2 linked regions of the Arabidopsis thaliana genome follow. The gene in region 1 interacts genetically with each later gene. Each region holds a gene or a part of one and is shown in the gene's direction. Other genes may lie near its edges. The genes, in order: EER5 and ERS1.

Region 1 (6,241 bases):
AGCTCCTCCCGTCGCTAGTCAAACCAGCACAATCCTACGCTCGAACTCCGATTTCGAAATTCAACGTCGCAGTCGTCGGACTCGGATCATCAGGTCGGATCTTCTTAGGCGTCAATGTCGAATTCCCAAATCTCCCTCTCCACCACTCAATCCACGCCGAACAGTTCCTCGTCACCAATCTCACACTCAACGGTGAACGTCATCTCAATTTCTTCGCCGTCTCCGCCGCACCATGTGGCCATTGCCGTCAATTCCTCCAAGAAATTCGCGACGCACCTGAAATCAAAATCCTTATCACCGATCCAAACAACTCCGCCGATTCCGATTCCGCCGCCGATTCAGACGGATTCTTACGTCTCGGAAGCTTCTTGCCACACAGATTCGGTCCCGACGATCTTCTCGGGAAAGATCATCCTCTTCTTCTCGAATCTCACGATAACCATCTCAAAATCTCAGATCTGGATTCGATTTGTAACGGAAACACCGATTCATCCGCCGATTTGAAACAAACGGCTTTAGCGGCGGCGAATAGATCGTACGCGCCGTATAGTTTATGTCCATCGGGAGTTTCGCTGGTGGATTGTGACGGGAAAGTGTACAGAGGTTGGTATATGGAATCGGCGGCGTATAATCCTAGTATGGGACCAGTACAGGCGGCGTTGGTTGATTATGTGGCTAATGGTGGTGGAGGAGGATACGAGAGGATCGTCGGAGCGGTTCTGGTGGAGAAAGAAGATGCGGTGGTGAGGCAAGAGCACACGGCGAGGTTGTTATTAGAGACTATATCGCCGAAATGCGAATTCAAAGTGTTTCATTGCTATGAAGCTTAGAGAATCATTTAATTATCCGAAAAATAAAGGAATTTTAAAAAAAAAGGAATAAAAAGAAAATGAGACTTTTTAATTCTTAAAAGTGTTGAAATTGACGGAAAAAAAAAAAGTGTTGAAATTGATGTGATGGATAACACATAGAGAATAAGAAAAGTTTATATTTTTAAATTTGTTAAAAATGTTTATTGTATTAAAAAATTAAATTTAATACAATTATTATGTTTATGGAGTATTGTTAAAAAAAAAATTGTTGATATTAAATTTTTCCATTTTTTGATATTTTTTTTTAATATCCCCTTTGAAAATTTAATTTCGTCTATAAGGGATGGATTATGTGGATTAGATCAAATCGGCCAAATTTTATAAAATTGACAAGGTTTTCAAAAGTCTCAAATCGAATCAATGATTTTTTTTTTTACATGTCAAGTTATGATGTTTCTTTTATGTACGCAAAAAGGCAAAAATAAATGAACGTAATGATGGCTTTACACATTGAATTTGTTGGAATAAAGGTTCCAAATACGAAGTATGAGAAAGTAGAGAATATAAGATGGTCCACATGCAACTCTTACTATGAGTGGTGAACAATGAATCTAAAGATTTTTAGATTAGTTTCAAATGGAATGCTTTTTAAATAAAATGATATATAAGAGCATATTTTAGTAGGAACCTTCATACCAAAAATAAAGTAGGAACCTTAAAAACCTCTCAAGTTTCTCGTTATCTTCAACTTTTAGCATTACACATAAATACTAATCCTGGATTGACTTCTCTCAACTCAAAATTTCTATTAATTGTGTGTTCAAGAATAAAATATATTGATAATTATATGATTAGCGTGATTTTTATTTATTTATTTATCATGTACATGTAGTAGAGGCCTTTGCTAACTATGAAAGAAGGGGAATATCAATGGGAATATATAGAAGTGTGAAAGTATAAATCACATTTGGAAACAAGTGATTTATTTGATCAGTTAATTACTTTTGACAAGTTGATTATATTCATTTCTTCGAGTTTTTGGCAACTTGTTGAGTTATATGCATGGTATAAATTGATTTCATGTCCCTTCAAGAAAGTTCCTCACGTCACCATCGGGCTAAGAAGACATATTTACATACAGATGTCAACATTACGGACGATTACATGAACTTAAAAAACCTTAAAGCAAATTAATCATGATCTATAAAACGATTATATGAACTTAAAAACTCTAAAAAAAATTCATGATCAGTACCACCGATTACAGGAACTTTAAAATCCTTCCAACACTAATGATATTTTCAAATCCTTTACAAATAAATTTTCAAACATTTTAATGATTGTATTTCATATGGGCCTTAAATGGCCCAACTAACATATGTCAATAAGTCTAATACCAGAAAAGACTAGTACGTAGTAACAATTTAGTTAATTACCAAACGCCGTCGTTTTTCTCAACTCCGTTATTTCCTTTTTTTTCCTGGCGACTTATTTGATTTCGTGTCTCTCTCAAAGAATAAGGAAGACGCAGACGAAGAAGGTGACAATGGCGTACGTTAGTATGGGTGAAGCTCACCGGAGAATCACTGAATACCTAAACCGATTCTGCGACGCCGTTTCGTACCAAGACTCTTCTACACTTTGCCGTCTCCTCTCTTTCTCTTCCAATTCTCCACCTCTTCTCTCACTCGCCGACGCACTCAACGTCTTCCAGGTACATATATTCTCTGTTAAATCGAGACCCATGATTCAAATTAGCAGCTTGGAGTATGTTCCTGTGATTAGTGGCATGATCCTTGTAAATTGGTAAAGTTAGGTTCGATTTCAAATCCAGGATGCTTCTGATATGTTCCGATTGGGTTCTCGTATGAATTGTGAACACTAGGAGCATGGTTTTTATGTTAGCAAAGTTTGTAACTTTTAGGTTAAATCGATTCAATGTAAGATCCTTAAGAGTATGATTTTCTAATTGGGTCCTCCTACTTCACCAATGAGTATGAATTTCTGAATTTAGGGCTCAAAACACTAGGAACATTATCTTTATGTTAGCAAAGTGTGTATCTTTTAGGTTCAATCAATGTCAATCTAGGATCCTCCTACTTCACTAATGAGTATGATTTTCCAATTGGGTCCTCCTGCTTCACCAATGAGTATGAATTTAGGCCGTGAAAGTGTCTCCTATTGAGTTGTTGTAGTGAACACTCTATGTCTATGTTTGAGTTTATGAGTATGGATTTTAGATTTAGGGTTTTTATTTATATGTAGAGAGCTGTGAAAGTGCTGAATCCTTTGAGTTTTCTTTTCTTTGACTGATACAGGATTCTAGCAGTTTGATTAGACAGTCTGATAGATTCTCTGAATATGGCGAGATTCTGGCTCATGTGTTTCGTTCTCTACAAAGTTACCGAGTTGGGAATCTAGTCGAAGCATACCTTGCTTTCGATAAGTTTGCCAAGTAAAGTCTTCTTGTTCCTCTCTGCTCCTCTATTGATGTCTAATATGATTTCAGGGTGATAAGCTTTTTTTTTTGTCTGTTCACAATGTCTGATATCTGATGGATTCTATATGTGCAGTGCATTTGTTCAGGAGTTTCGTAATTGGGAATCTGCTTGGGCATTGGAAGCTCTGTATGTAGTTTGTTATGAAATTCGAGTTCTTGCGGAAAAGGTAGTATCTCATTTGTATATCCCTTTTTCAAAATCTTAACCTTGTCTGGTTTCATTGTGTCGAGGAGTCAGTTCTGAAAGCATGATTTTTCCACATGGAATTGCAGGCTGATAAAGATTTAACTTCTAATGGAAAGTCTCCAGAGAAATTAAAAGCAGCTGGGTCTCTTCTCATGAAAGTTTTTGGAGTTCTTGCTGTAAGTTTTCCCTTTGATCTATCTATATATCTTCAGGAATATTAGTTTATATTTGTGTTCAATATTTTTTCCGGCTCCTTATGTAGTTTTAAACTATAGGGGAAAGGTCCAAAACGAGTCGGAGCATTATATGTGACTTGCCAATTGTTCAAGACCTACTTTAAGGTGATATGCTTTCTGGCAACAGTTTGATATTTATGATTTAACCATTAAATGGAGTACTAAACAGGTATCCCCAATTTTGTATTTTAGCTTGGAACCGTCAATCTTTGTCGAAGTGTAATAAGAAGTATCGAAACTGCTCGGATATTTGACTTTGAGGAGTTTCCAAGAAGAGATAAGGTCTGGCGCAGTTCTCTGCAAACAGTTTTAGTTTTTGGCCTCCTTATTCGGTTACTTATTATCTTCTGTTTATTCTTCGCAAACACCAGGTTACATACATGTATTATACCGGCCGATTAGAAGTCTTCAACGAAAATTTTCCTGCTGTGAGTCACTAAGAGATTTTTTCTTACCATCACAGTTCATTTCGTAGTGTCAATCCAAATATTGATAGTAACATTTAATCTCTTTTTTTGGATCTTGCAGGCTGATACAAAGCTATCATATGCCTTGCAAAATTGCAACCCCAAAAGAGAACGAAATATAAGGTCTGATTCTGGTTTTACTCTGTGATTACCTTACTCTTGCATTGCGTTGCTTAATCAGCTAATGTGGCCTTATGTGAATCAGGATGATATTAAAGTATTTGGTACCGGTGAAGCTTTCTTTAGGAATTATACCAAAAGATGAGCTCCTGCGAAATTATAATCTGCATGAGGTAACGACTTTTCTGTTGTTCTATAAAATTTTCTTCGAATCTATGTCAAAACTTATTTCGCATCTGCTGAGTGATATCATATCTCTCTTAATCCTATTTCTCTACGTGTCCAGTACACAAAGATTGTGCAAGCTCTGAGAAAGGGTGATCTAAGGCTTCTCCGGCATGCTCTTCAAGAACATGAAGATCGGTATGTATTTCTTTCGATATCTTGCTTTTCTCATCTAATCCAAATGATAGAGTCCTTGTGGATACTCTAGAGCATGAGTATTGGAATTAGTATAGGCTGCTTGTAGTGGATTATATAGCTCTGCTGACAGGTCAGTAACACCTGGTTCTTAGGTAGAGAGCTAACAGGTTAAAAGAAAATTGGGGCAGAAAGAGTTGGGATGTTCTGGATTTGTCTAGGGGTTAGGATTTGCAGTTGGGTCGAGAGTAGAGTTGTGCAAGTCTCTATATGATGAGTATTTTGATTCTATCACCGAACAACTTAATATCTCGATCTAATACTCTTCTTTTATACAGGTTCTTGAGGTCGGGTGTGTATCTTGTCTTGGAAAAGCTAGAGCTCCAAGTCTACCAGAGACTCATGAAGAAAATGTAAGCAAAGACAAGCTATGATACCATCCAAGATTCTTGAGTTTATAACTCTTATTATTATCAATGTTTCAGTTATATAAACCAGAAGCTGAGTGATCCAGCGAGAGCTCACCAGCTGAAGCTTGAAGGGATTGCCAAAGCACTAAGATGGCTAGATATGGACATGGATCTGGACGAGGTTTGTTCTACAATACCATCCCATTCATTGCTTTTGACTTCTTCTAAAATTGAAATCTTCTATAAACTCACAGTTGTCAAAATAATACTGTATTTGCAGGTGGAATGTATAATGACGATATTGATATACAAAAACCTTGTGAAAGGTTATTTAGCTCACAAGAGCAAAGTGGTAGTTCTAAGCAAGCAAGATCCTTTCCCTAAACTAAACGGGAAGCCTGTTAGCTCATAAGTCTTCACGTGTTATTTTTTTTGTTGTATCAACAAACACTTTTTATTTTCTAATTGTGTGTAAAATTCATTCAAACAAAAAACAAAAACTGTTTTTACAATAGAAATGTGACTTTAAAACTGTGGAGTTTTCACCATGGTTGAGGAGTCTACTTACGAGTAAGGTCCAAATTTCCACTGAATATCGACATGAGAAGAATAAGTGATTACGAGTTTTAGTTTAGCAAAAAAAAGAAAAAGTGATTACGAGTCTCATTCGTATCTCCACAGAAAAATGCAATTTGATCTTTGGCGAGAGTTCCAGTTCCATACTTCCATTACCTTATTCTTTTTACATCAATAGGGGGCCTCATTGTTTTCTTCTCTACGATTACCACCTGAAGCAAAAAGACGATGAAGCCAACGAAGATCGTGATTCCGAACCGCCGCAACGAGAAGCTCGTGGGTCTGCTTCACGAAACTGGATCAAAAGAAGTTGTGGTCTTATGCCATGGCTTTAGATCGGACAAGACCAACAAGATTCTCAAAAACGTGGCTACAGCTTTGGAGAAAGAAAAAATCAGCTCTTTTCGTTTCGATTTCTCTGGTAACGGAGATAGTGAAGGAACTTTCTATTATGGTAACTTCAACAGTGAAGCAGAGGATGATCTGCATTACGTTATTCAACACTTGTCCTCCTCTAACATCATGAACCGTCTAGTTCCTGTCATTCTTGGTCATAGTAAAGGTGGTGATGTC
Region 2 (5,555 bases), 8.6 Mb from region 1:
CCTTGTCCTCCTTATATGGTGAAGCAACAAGGATCTCAAGTGCCTTTGATTCCTATTCCTAGGTTGAAACCACAGAACACCCTTGGAACATCCAAGGCTAAGAAGTCCGAGAGTAAGAAGAGTGAAGCTAAGACCAAGAAGGTGGCTAGTATTAGTTTTCTGGGTCTTCTGTTTTGTCTATTTTTGTTTGGTGCATTAGCTCCAATTGTGAACGTTAATTATGGAGGAATTAGTGGTGCTTTTTATGGGAACTATAGATCTAATTATATTACTGACCAGATTTACAGTCAGCATAGGGATAGAGTTTTGGATACATCTCGTAGTGGTGCTGGTACTGGGGTTTCTAATAGTAATGGGATGCATCGTGGGAGAGATTCTGATCGAGGAGCTAGGAAAAATATATCTGCAACAGAGAGTTCTGTCACTCCTGGAAATGGTAGTGAGCCTCTAGTTGCATCACTCTTTGTTCCGAGGAATGACAAGCTTGTGAAGATAGATGGGAATTTGATTATCAATTCTATATTGGCGAGTGAGAAAGCCGTGGCTTCGAGAAAGGCTTCTGAATCAAAGGAGAGGAAAGCTGACTTGATGATCTCTAAAGATTATACCCCTGCACTGCCTCTACCTGACGTGGGAAGGACAGAGGAATTGGCTAAGCATCTCTATAGATCTAAGGCTGAAAAACAGAAAGCTCTATCCTCTGGCTCTGCTGATACTCTGAAAGACCAAGTCAAAACAAAAGCAGCCAACGGTGAAATGCAGCAATGGTTCCGTGAAGGTGTTGCAGGTAATCATGGGTTTTTGATCTTACTTTCTGTTCCCTTGACTTGGTTATGTAGGCAGGCATTGTAGGTATACTAGTCCTTATCATATCTTGATATTAGACACAAGAACATTTTAATGAGGCTTAACTTACCTTCAGCAAATCTCTGGTCATGAGTAGATGTATTGTATAATCTGGATTAGATACTAAACACTAATAAGGAACATGTGAAATTGTTACTCATATTGTATATTTTTCTTCATCTTTCTCGGCAGAAGCTGTAAGCGCAGTAGTAGCGTTTATATCTTTCTTGTTCACTAAATAATAACACCTTTTTTGTTTGTTAAATGACTATATTGTAGGTCCCATGTTTAGTTCAGGGATGTGCACTGAAGTGTTTCAGTTTGATGTATCCTCAACCTCTGGAGCCATCATTCCTGCAGCTACCAACGTCTCTGCTGAACACGGTAAGAACACCACAGACACACACAAGCAACAGAACAGAAGAATCCTTCGTGGTCTTCCCATTCCACTCCCAGGATCAGATTTTAACCTCACGAAAGAGCACCAAAGAAACAGCAGTAGCAAAGAAATCAAGCCTGCTTCATCAATGGTTGTATCTGTGCTTGTTGATCCCAGAGAAGGAGGTGATGGAGATATAGATGGGATGATTGGGGGACCAAAATCACTGTCTCGAGTTTTTGTAGTCGTGCTTCTGGACAGTGCAAAGTATGTAACATACTCCTGTGTCCTACCTCGATCAGGAGCTCCTCATCTTGTGACCACTTGAAGACATATGAGGATTGAAACATATATCAGCAGGTCTTCTCTCATATAGGCTTTGTATGTAAAAGAATAAATACCTGCTCTCTGGTATCACGTAATATCCTTAGCTAATACCGTTGTCCGGTTTTTGTTTCCAGATGTAGAATCCGAATGCTGTAACTTTTTTTTTTTACCTTTTATAAACTCATAGCCTTAGAAAGTTTTATCAAACCTCTCATATACATTGCAAAAGTCGATGACCAAAAAATGTCATTCTACAATAGAAGCTGAAATCCAAGTAGACAAAAGTGATCAGTTAGTTGATTCCATGGTTTGAGCCAAGGGGGCATCGGTGATAGCAGGAGAATATGAGCACACAAGTGACAGAAGAAGAAGTCTTTACCTGAAGGTCGACGGAGAGAGAATTGGATTAGCATGAACCCTCAGATTCATGAACCTGAGCTCACTTTTAAAATTTCTTTATTTCATTGTCAGAAAAAGAGAGCTAATAATATTATTATTTAAATGTAACAAGTAGGCCTATAACACGTGAACTTCCCTCTTTGCAAAAAAAAAATCATCAAAAACTTTTACCTCTCATTGGTTTCTTCTTTATCACACTGTTACGCTTGGATTCTCATTTCTTCAAGTTCATAACGCTCGGATCAATCAGGAAGACGAACTTGAACTTTCTTTTTTTCATCATTACCCAAAGCTATGAGGCTCACACCACCAATAGCTCCGCCGTCATGAATCCTTCTCTTCCAGGTACTGTGCCGTCTCGGGATAACAAACTTTCTATTTATTCTCTTCTGATCGGATCTATCTATCGATGAAGATTGATTTCACTACTTTAGTAACATTTCATCTGATCGATCTGTGTTGTGTTATCGAGGAATCAATCTCATTTTGTAGATTCAATTTTCTGGATAGATTTTGTATCTCTTTTCCATAGCTCTAGTCCAAATCTAGTCTCCACTGATATCTGAGTTTTGTTGACCAGGTCAACACAAGTCAGAGCTCCAAAAATGGAGTCATGCGATTGTTTTGAGACGCATGTGAATCAAGATGATCTGTTAGTGAAGTACCAATACATCTCAGATGCGTTGATTGCTCTTGCATACTTCTCAATCCCACTCGAGCTTATCTATTTCGTGCAAAAGTCTGCTTTCTTCCCTTACAAATGGGTGCTTATGCAGTTTGGAGCCTTTATCATTCTCTGTGGAGCTACGCATTTCATCAACCTATGGATGTTCTTCATGCATTCCAAAGCCGTTGCCATTGTCATGACTATTGCTAAAGTCTCTTGCGCGGTTGTGTCGTGTGCTACCGCGTTGATGTTGGTTCATATTATTCCTGATCTTCTCAGTGTTAAGAACAGGGAATTGTTTCTCAAGAAGAAAGCTGATGAGTTAGATAGAGAAATGGGTCTTATTTTAACACAAGAGGAGACTGGTAGGCATGTTAGGATGCTTACTCATGGAATTAGAAGAACTCTTGATAGGCATACTATTTTAAGAACCACTCTTGTTGAGCTTGGTAAAACTCTTTGTCTTGAGGAATGTGCGTTGTGGATGCCTTCTCAAAGTGGTTTATATTTGCAGCTTTCTCATACTTTGAGTCATAAAATACAAGTTGGAAGCAGTGTGCCGATAAATCTCCCGATTATTAATGAACTCTTCAATAGCGCTCAAGCTATGCACATACCTCATTCTTGTCCTTTGGCTAAGATTGGGCCTCCGGTTGGGAGATATTCACCTCCTGAGGTTGTTTCTGTCCGTGTTCCTCTTTTACATCTCTCTAATTTCCAAGGCAGTGACTGGTCGGATCTCTCTGGCAAAGGTTACGCTATCATGGTCCTGATTCTCCCAACCGATGGTGCAAGAAAATGGAGAGACCATGAGTTAGAGCTTGTAGAAAACGTGGCGGATCAGGTCCATCTCTTTACTTGTATATGTTTGGTTGTGTGTCAAGTTGCTTTACCAGCTTTTAGTGTTTTGTTTTGTCCCCTGACTCTCACTTCATTCAGGTGGCTGTGGCTCTCTCACATGCTGCAATTTTGGAAGAATCCATGCACGCTCGTGACCAGCTTATGGAGCAGAATTTTGCTTTAGACAAGGCTCGTCAAGAGGCTGAGATGGCAGTACATGCTCGAAATGATTTCCTAGCTGTTATGAACCACGAGATGAGGACACCGATGCATGCCATCATCTCTCTTTCTTCTCTTCTCCTTGAGACTGAGCTGTCTCCAGAGCAAAGAGTTATGATCGAGACAATACTGAAAAGCAGCAATCTTGTGGCTACACTAATCAGCGACGTTCTGGATCTTTCGAGATTGGAAGATGGGAGCTTACTCTTGGAAAATGAACCATTCAGTCTACAAGCGATCTTTGAAGAGGTAACTAAATCCCCCTGATTAACCAGTGAAGTCCATTATATATGTCTTACATGAATAACATGGGCGCTTTGAATCTGCAGGTCATCTCTTTGATAAAGCCAATCGCATCAGTGAAGAAACTATCAACGAATCTGATTCTGTCTGCAGACTTACCAACTTATGCTATTGGTGATGAGAAACGTCTGATGCAAACAATTCTTAACATCATGGGCAACGCTGTGAAATTTACTAAGGAAGGCTACATCTCCATAATAGCCTCTATCATGAAACCCGAGTCCTTACAAGAATTACCATCTCCAGAATTTTTTCCAGTTCTCAGTGACAGTCACTTCTACCTATGTGTGCAGGTTAGACCCAATCTACAAATTACTAAACTACAAAGTTAAGCTTCTTACTGTGTTCTTACTGTTATAATCATGGTGCAGGTGAAGGACACAGGGTGTGGAATTCACACACAAGACATTCCTTTGCTCTTTACCAAATTTGTACAGCCTCGGACCGGAACTCAGAGGAACCATTCCGGTGGAGGACTCGGGCTAGCTCTCTGTAAACGGTAACAACCCAAAAGTATATATAAGTTATAAGCAGATGGTGTTACAAATAGCTAAAAGGCAAGTTTCTGTTGATGGATGTCTCTGGTTAGGTTTGTCGGGCTAATGGGAGGATACATGTGGATAGAAAGTGAAGGCCTAGAGAAAGGCTGCACAGCTTCGTTCATCATCAGGCTTGGTATCTGCAACGGTCCAAGCAGTAGCAGTGGTTCAATGGCGCTACATCTTGCAGCTAAATCACAAACCAGACCGTGGAACTGGTGATACATTACGTTGGAAAGACTTGTATTGAGGTGAGACTTTTTAACTACACAGCAGCAAGAGAAAGAAGAAAATACATGACCGGACGGTGTGATCTAACTTATTGGATTTTGTTGGATGTAATATGTAAAATAAAAATCCTATATACGGGGAGAGGTACCTTATCTGTTCTCACTATATTTTATTGAACATTACTTTAGAGAATATGTTTTGGAATTCACTACTAAATAAACGATATAAATCTTCACGAAAAGAGCAACATTTTGTGGTTGTGGCAGATTCACAAATTCTTTTTTATATATGATAAATTACCTTAGAAAGTTTTACTTACTCATCAAACTTCTCAAATACATTGCAAAAGTCGATGAAAAGAAAAATGTCTTCTACAAAATAAACAAGGAAGCTCAATGAGACAAAGTGATCAGTTAGCTGATTCCATGGTTTGAGCCAAGGGGGCATTGGTGATAGCCATCTTCATGTCAAGAGGATATGAACCACTGCTTTGTTCTCGAATCTCTCTGTATTCTTGGCAAATGGCACACAAGTGACAGAAGAAGTGTGTTACAAAATCCCCACATGGAGCCTCCTGAATCAAAGAATGTTAAATCAGTCAGAAGCGCCACATACATACCTAATGGTATTATCCACATATGTGTCGTTTGAGAAATTCTAACCTGTAAATTGTACTTGGCTCTTAATGATTTGCGGTACCCGCAAGCATAACATGACACAAAGCATCCCGGTAGACCGAGCAATGCGCCATTAGTTGCAAAGCAGCAAATGGTATTGACCAAAGCCCAGGAGATGCAATGGGTTA

The links.
Region 2: of EER5 (region 1) and ERS1, a change in one rescues a mutant of the other (synthetic rescue), as found in Arabidopsis thaliana (one study listed by BioGRID).

What each region holds. Positions count from the first base shown.
Region 1 is NC_003071.7:8,465,187-8,471,427, reverse strand, and holds EER5 (proteasome family protein), read left to right. Parts: upstream 1-2,282; 5' UTR 2,283-2,358; coding exon 2,359-2,526; intron 2,527-3,130; coding exon 3,131-3,267; intron 3,268-3,356; exon of another isoform or gene 3,357-3,377; coding exon of another isoform or gene 3,378-3,385; coding exon 3,386-3,479; intron 3,480-3,585; coding exon 3,586-3,675; intron 3,676-3,774; coding exon 3,775-3,840; intron 3,841-3,927; coding exon 3,928-4,017; intron 4,018-4,106; coding exon 4,107-4,163; intron 4,164-4,263; coding exon 4,264-4,325; intron 4,326-4,407; coding exon 4,408-4,495; intron 4,496-4,608; coding exon 4,609-4,685; intron 4,686-5,020; coding exon 5,021-5,095; intron 5,096-5,167; coding exon 5,168-5,273; intron 5,274-5,372; coding exon 5,373-5,504; 3' UTR 5,505-5,738; downstream 5,739-6,241. Other genes in the region: CDA1 (cytidine deaminase 1), read left to right, coding at 1-830; AT2G19550 (alpha/beta-Hydrolases superfamily protein), read left to right, coding at 5,897-6,241. UniProt on the Arabidopsis thaliana protein: Involved in the regulation of ethylene response. Probable TREX-2 component required for nuclear RNA export.
Region 2 is NC_003071.7:17,083,821-17,089,375, reverse strand, and holds ERS1 (ethylene response sensor 1), read left to right. Parts: upstream 1-2,049; 5' UTR 2,050-2,296; intron 2,297-2,531; 5' UTR 2,532-2,556; coding exon 2,557-3,462; intron 3,463-3,557; coding exon 3,558-3,926; intron 3,927-4,006; coding exon 4,007-4,273; intron 4,274-4,351; coding exon 4,352-4,479; intron 4,480-4,569; coding exon 4,570-4,741; 3' UTR 4,742-5,055; downstream 5,056-5,555. Other genes in the region: BZIP17 (Basic-leucine zipper (bZIP) transcription factor family protein), read left to right, coding at 1-787, 1,126-1,553; AT2G40935 (PLAC8 family protein), read right to left, coding at 5,160-5,324, 5,413-5,555. UniProt on the Arabidopsis thaliana protein: Ethylene receptor related to bacterial two-component regulators. Acts as a redundant negative regulator of ethylene signaling.